2 linked regions of the Caenorhabditis elegans genome follow. The protein of the gene in region 2 purifies or fractionates together with the protein of the main gene of each other region. This does not show direct contact. Each region holds a gene or a part of one and is shown on either strand. Other genes may lie near its edges.

The links.
Region 1: the proteins of F09F7.6 (region 2) and C49C3.7 fractionate together in Caenorhabditis elegans (co-fractionation; one large-scale study listed by BioGRID). This does not show direct contact.

What each region holds. Positions count from the first base shown.
Region 1 is NC_003282.8:17,330,796-17,334,330, reverse strand, and holds C49C3.7 (Coiled-coil domain-containing protein 176), read right to left. Parts: upstream 1,771-3,535; 5' UTR 1,753-1,770; coding exon 1,628-1,752; intron 1,581-1,627; coding exon 872-1,580; 3' UTR 871-871; intron 822-870; 3' UTR 685-821; downstream 1-684. Other genes in the region: C49C3.15 (DUF4515 domain-containing protein), read right to left, coding at 1-94; C49C3.6 (uncharacterized protein), read right to left, coding at 2,091-2,640, 2,688-2,800.
Region 2 is NC_003281.10:5,550,517-5,554,244, forward strand, and holds F09F7.6 (Ferritin), read right to left. Parts: upstream 1,620-3,728; 5' UTR 1,600-1,619; coding exon 1,447-1,599; intron 917-1,446; coding exon 806-916; 3' UTR 716-805; downstream 1-715. Other genes in the region: F09F7.5 (CRIB domain-containing protein), read left to right, coding at 493-597; nmad-1 (DNA N6-methyl adenine demethylase), read right to left, coding at 3,053-3,338, 3,648-3,728.

The sequences.
Region 1 (3,535 bases), on a different chromosome or scaffold from region 2:
TCTTTCTTTTTGGGTCCTTTTGTTCATTTTTAGCAGCTTTATTCTTGTGGAGGTTTTCAATGCGTTTACGCATGGCAACAGACCGTCTTGGCATTCTTCTGAAGAAAACAAATTCATAATTGTGACCGAATAGTTGTGTGGTGATAAAAAACACAAGAAGCATTAGTTTTGGCGTAAGCCACGGTGATCCCGATGGTACCAACATAGACGTGAACTCAACTTATTTGCTATGTTTGACTATGGTAACATATCATGGGTCTTGGCGCGAAAAAAGTTTATTGTATAATTTTTTTACTTTGACTAAGTACTGTTTCGTTTATTTTTCATGCATTCAATTCAATTCAATTCAATTAATAAGTTTTTAGCGAATTTTATCGTTTCCTTTTCATTTTTCTGTTTTCAAGTCGGAAGCAGCCGTAAAAATCCAAAAAAAGTCTACCATAAACATTTTGCGCGTCGAGACCCATCTGAATAAATCCATGCGCCTTTAAGAAGGTGTGACAAGATCTTGTAAATTTACCATAATTTGAAATTTAAGCTACTAAAAAACACATTCCAAAAGACGGAGAAACTGACAGAAAATTATCGAACGTGCACACACACTCTCTTCAATAGCTGCGTCTCTTCACTCTATATCATGTGGCCTCATAGATCATTGGGGCGCTTTTGCCAACTGTTCAGAGTCGATAATTAATATTTTATTTTATTTCAACAACAGAAACGTTCTAAAAACGTTCAAAACATAAATGCAACGAAACACATGATTGATTGTGTGATGAGATTCATGAAGATGACACGGCTTGGCCTGAGTTGGAGGGAACCTTGAAAAAATGTCAATTTTAAATGCTCAAGGTGAAACTACAAAGTTACCTTAATTACTGGACGTCGAATCTAATCTGATCGCCATGCTCAGAAGAATTTCATTGGGTGTTTGGTTGGTGGAGTCTCGGCTGATATGCATAGATCCACGACTTGAAGTCATTTTTAGAATTTTCAGCTCTTCTTCAGCCTTTCTACGTGCACTTCTCTCCATTTCCAAATCTTCTCGCAATTCCCAAATGTCTCTATTTGAATCGTTGGGTACTTCCACGGATTCCGATCTGTCGCCGATCACATTTCTAATTCGTGCACTTAGAGCAAGCTTTTCAGAGAGCACATCATTAAATCGATCTTTCCACATTTCTTTTTCTCGTAGCAGAATCAAATTAGATTGTGTAGCGCTCTCCATTTCGGATTTGATCTTCATATCAACTTTAAACTGATTTCCTTGTTGTGCTTTCAAGAATTCCAGCTCCTTCTTGAGTTGGTCGGTGACTTTTAAAAGTTCAACATTTTCAGCAGCAGTAGTCTCGAAACAATTTTTGTAGAACTTCGACTCCTCTTCAGCGCTGTCAATTTCGGATTTCAACTTTTTATCAACTTTAAACTGGTTTCCTGGTTGTCTCTTTAAAAATTCCAGCTCTTTTTTGAGTTCATCAGTGGCTTTTAAAAGCTCGACATTTTTAGCAGCAGCTGTTTCAAATCGGTTTTTGTAGATCGTCGACTCCTCTTTAACGATCTTGTACTGGTCTTCAGTGTATCTGTAAATAATTTATATTGTTCTGAATTGCTTCCGTGTAAAACTAACGTCAATGGAAGATTGTGCAGTTTCATCAGAGCTTCCTGTTGTTCGATTTCTTTCTTTTTTCTAGCAAGTGTACCCATAAATCCACAGATTCTTGCATGTTTTTGTCTTTTATTAGGGGGTGGCATGCTTCTGGAAAAAAAAAACTATGATGGAAAGTCTTAACAGGAATTTAAAAAAATTAATAATCGTTGAGATATTTGGATTAAATAATATTATTTTGAAAATGTCAACAATTACAAAAAAAAAAAAAGCTTTTCGAAAATACTTTGTCTATTTATTGGTTTATTCTAATAAAATAAATGCAGTAACGTTTCAAAAACGCTCAAAACAGAAATTAAACGAAGCAGATTTTTGAGTGCTGAGATTCATAAAGTTGAGATGGAATGTGTTGAGTGTCGATTGAGGAATTCTGAAAAAAAAACAATAAAAATTTTCAATCGTTCTTGTAAAATACAAAATTACCTTAATTAACCGACGTCGTATCCAATCCTATCGCCATTTTCAGGAGCATCTCATTGGGTGTTTGGTTGTTCGAGCGTGTGGAGCATTGATTTCTCGGCAGAGATCCACGAGTTGAATTCATTTTTTGAGCTTTCGGTTCTTCTTCCGTTTTTCTACGAGCACTTCTATCAATTTCCAAATCTTCTCGCAGTTCCCACGTGTTACCATTTGAATCATTAGGCACTTCTACGGATTCTACTATGTCGCCCATCATACTTTTCACTCGTGCACTTAGCGCAAGCTTCTCAGCGAGAACATCATAATACCGATTTTGCCAAATTTCTCTTTCACGAAGCAACGTCATATTTGATTGCCTGGTGCTCTCGATTTGGGATTTGAACTTCATATCGACCTTCAACTGATTTCCTTGTTGGTTTTTCAACAATTCCAGCTCTTTTTTGAGTTGATCGTTGGATTTTAGAAGTTCAACGTTCTCGGCGGCAGTAGTTTCGAAGCAATTTTTGTAGAACTTCGACTCCTCTGCAACTTGTTCGTACTGTTCTGCAGTATACCTGTAAATTCGTTCAATTTTTCGCAAAAATATCTAAATAAAACTAACGCTAACGGATGCATGAGAAGAGCTTCATGTCGTTCAATTTCCTTTCTTTTTTTTGCGGGTGGGCCTTTCAGTCCATTGATTCTACCTGCCGCTCGTCTCTTGGACAGTGGCATTTTTCTGAAAAGAACCAATATTTTGTGAGGGAAATTTATAAAATTTCGCAAAAATCAAAAGTAAAACATCGCACGCACATTGATATCCATTAACTGATATAATTTAACAAAAGTGAGACAATCAAGAGAAAAAAGTACAATCAGTCTCGTAAAAAGAAACCGAACAAACAAAATCCGTCTCGTTGTCCCGCGTCTCTCATCTCTGGTGCATGACGCTGGAGCGCACTTTCCTCTTCTAAATTTCATTTTCTGTAGAAACTTTCAGGCTTGTCAGAAACATAAAAAGCCTTGAAATATGCACTTTATAGGATTAAAATGGATCCATCATATTTTTGTATTCAAACTAAAATTGTTCACAGAATGTTTTGTTTGGATATGCAGAAAGAGAATCCAAAAAATACTATGATAAATATTCGCAGTATTTCCATAGGAATATATTTATTGGATTGCTTTGGATAATTTCCTTTTTAAATATCATAATTTTGCAAAAATTTCACACGTCAGTTTAAAGGTACACGCTGATTTCCTGAATAGGTCTCGCCACGATCTCGATCATAGTGGTTGTTAAATACTGGTGCCCTGTGAAGTTTATGTAATTTCAAATTCTGAACTGTGCAGGGAAACCAAAAATTTGTCCGAAGACATTCATAGATTAGTTTTATGTTTTTTTGCGAAGAGATGCTACAGTAATCTCAATATTTTTTTAAATTCTAAGAGCTCATATCACGAAACTAC
Region 2 (3,728 bases):
TTACCCCTAGTTTCCAATTTTTCCGAGAAAGTACTTTTGTTGATTGGAACTGCCATTCATAGGATCACAAGGTGATCGAAAACAAAAAGAAGCAGCTGACTACTTGCGAATTTCCAGTAGAAATAGATTTAGAGAAGCAAGAAATTCGAGAAATTCTTTAGACAAAATTTTTCTTTGGAATGGTGGGTCATGGGTCCGCACGTACCCAAGTTTCTCTCTGAGACTGAGCAAAATGTATAAGTGGGCTCTCAATACAATTTTCTGTCATAGGTACGTGCAGACATTTTTAAGCAAACGATCGATCAAACCAAGTAATGAGCAAAAATAGTGCTAATAGGTTAAGATTTCCTACGAGGCAGGTTGCATACCCTAGCAGATATTTCTAAATAGATTTTGTACCAAATATCATTAACTGGGGAGCCTTCAGTAGTTGTCCTATTTCCTGGCACTTGTTAATTTTCAAAAAATTATTCAAATTCCCACTATTTTCAGATTAATGACGCTTTCATCATGCTTCCACCACCTTCAGCAGCCGCAATGATCCCATCAGATTCAGAATCCGAAGACGACGATAATTTCATTATTACTCGATTTTAAATTATTTGTTTTACTTAAATTCTTAACTAAACTCTAGTCAATTGTCTCTCTACATTCCAGTGCCAAACCACCATTCCATTAAAAATAAATTTCTCAAATAAAACCGATTCGATTTGCGAAAAAAGCAATATATTTTATTTTCATTTCTTCACAGCACAAAAAATAACAATTTGGAAGGTATGTACAGAATCCGTTTCGATCAAACGCGTCAATGGGAGGTTTCAAGCAACTTTTTCAGATGCTCCTCGGCGGCTTCCAGATCATCACGGAGATAACGGAGTTTTGCAGGGGTCACAAATTCCTCGTTGTATACGTTTTTCTGGAAAAGTAAAAGGGTTTAAAGGGTGGAATGGGATAATCTTTTGTGGCCTACACTATCTTTTTTAAGTTGTTAACTGATCTACAATCTCGAAAATTCCCCGTAAAACTGCAATTTTTGAGTAATATGTTCAGTTACAGCCTTTTGGAAACTCAAAATCCTAGTGCTTTGTCATTTGAATTTTGCATTTTGTCCAGCGTACAGAATAGTTTTTGCTAAGTAGTCGAGAAATTTTATAATTTGACGTTTCAGAGAAATTGAAAACTATTTTTTTCCGAAAACGGGCTTAACTATTGCAATTTTTTAAATTTGAGGTTGTGGAATAAAGTACTGTTTCCATCGCAACATAATTTGCGCGTAAAACATGGTGCATCGGGTCCGTGAATTGAAAAAGGAAAATTTTGTTTTTTCAAAAAATGTCGATGCACCATGTTCAATTCATAATTCAACTATGTATTTAAGGGTGCTAATGGACAATCTAATTTCAAATTTTCTTCAAAATGATTCACAGAAATTAAAGAAAACCTTACCAAAGCCATTTCACTGCGAATTACTTGATACCGAGCCAATTCCAAGTCACACTCGAACTTTGTCTGATCATCGCAATTTGGCGCGTCGTGGATTCTAATGAGATCATACTCTTGACGGCCGATTTTGGCAAGACGGGCGGCTTCGTCGCACATTTTGTAATTATTAGCTGAAATATGAAATTGGAATAAAATCTAAAATTTTGTTATGCAAATCGGTTAATAGAAGGAGAGATGAGAGCGGTGGAGAGAATACGATGAATAGATAATTTGACGTTTCAGAGAAATTGAAAAGTGACCCGGACTAGATCGGAGATAAAATCTTCGAGTTGCGTACGGATGGACCTGTCTCCGGAGACGGGGGAAAACTGACAAAGGTATTCGAAAAAAGGTAGGAAGGACCCCCAAAAGAGGCGGGGTTTAGATACACTTTAAACTGTAAAACAACAATATAAGATAGTGAGAGAAAGAGAGGCTGAGAGGAAGACGGTAGAGACGCAGAGAACCACGAGGTGATCGAGATAAACAGATGGAGAGAAGATCAATCAACGTACTTTGTGTGCTTTTTGATTTGATGTCTCGGTTTTTTTCTGTGTGGGAATCATGTTGATTAGAGATTATTTACAGAGATATGTAAAATTGATAATTTTGAACAAAACGTGGAAAAAATGAAATTTTTGAATTAGAATTATGAATTTCTGAATCTGTGTTTGATTCTTCTAGAATTTCAGTTTTAAGTTTATGCAAAAGTTTAATACACAATTAGATTAATTATAATATTATACGTCGGCTAATTTTTGTAACATCTGATGCAATTGCGCTCTATTAGACGGAATTATTTTTCGGGGATTTTATAATAAGTAAAAACACAGTCCGAGTAGAAAGCTTTGTTTTATTTTAGTTAGTTTTAAACCAGTAAATTAAAAAAAAATAGACGTGCGTCTTCATTGGGTTACTGTAACTTTCTGAAAATCTTTTGATAACTACCGTAACTCTTTAAAGGCGCAAGTCTCTTTTCATTATTTTAACTAAAATTCAAAGCTAAAAATCGGTTTTTTTATAAACGGATTAATTGACAGATTAAAATATTCCTAATGAACGCAAGAAAATAACAGCCACGTGGGTTCTGAAAAATTGCAAACCAAGCAATTTTTGATTCCAAGGTAAACAAATTGTCAGCGAACTCTCTCTCTTTCTTTCAATAACCTCGTGACGAGTCTTCCAAACTACAGGTAAATAATCGAGATGGCTATCTAAATTATACGGTTTTCTTTCTTCTTTGTTGGAATTTAATTTCAAATTTTTTAGGTTCAGGGTCACACGTGTGCCTACAGGAAAACTGTAATGTAGTCTATCTGACAGGTGTCCATCCCAATCAATCATTAAATGAATGCTCTCCGAGCCGTTCACTCCTTATCTTATCTCGATCACATGGCTCTCTGTGACGTCACATGTTGTTTTCCCAATTCGGTTTTCAGCCGATTCATTCCATAATTACTTTGCACCTGAACGAGAAACGAACAAAGAATAAAAATTAAAACTTCTTCAATTAAAAAGTTGGTTGAACAAGGAGAAGAATGACAAAACAGACAGAAAAAAGGAATTATCATCACACGGAAGTTTTCGAAAGTGGTACTCGAATGTTGCCCAGGCGAATTAGCTCGGCACCGTATTTCTCATACAATTCCCCTCCCTCAGCGAAATCTTTGGCCGCCTCTCGCATCGTCAACGCTATTCTTCGTCCACGGATGTGGTGAGCGAGAACTCCGTGCTTCCAATCATATCTACATTCATCGGCCATACAGAGAAGAGAACGATGAGGCATATGGACGTAGCATAAGAACGATTTATTATCGTTGGATAGAGTCATCACGGATCCATTGATTAGGTTGATGCTGAAAAATTGATTGGATTCTTCAAAGTTCTTTAAATTTTGGAAATTAAAAAAAAATGAAATGGGGACAAACAGTATTTAAATTTATTATTCTCGAGGCAAGGCATTTTTTTGAACACAGTTTTTGAGAAAAATCAAATACTCTGAAGTTTTCAGATCTTAAAAAAAATTTTTTTTTTTGTAGATTACTGTCAATGGGAATTTCGTTTTAAAATATTCGCGTTTTTTTTGCAAAAATAAAAATTTTTTGTCGAATTTCTGCCGAAAATAATATTAATTAAACAGTACTTTTTTAAAAAGGAATTCATACCTTATCAATCGATTTCCCCAAATCCACATATCATCCTGATGCATCTCAATGGCACTTTTCTTCACTTCCTCATACTCCAAA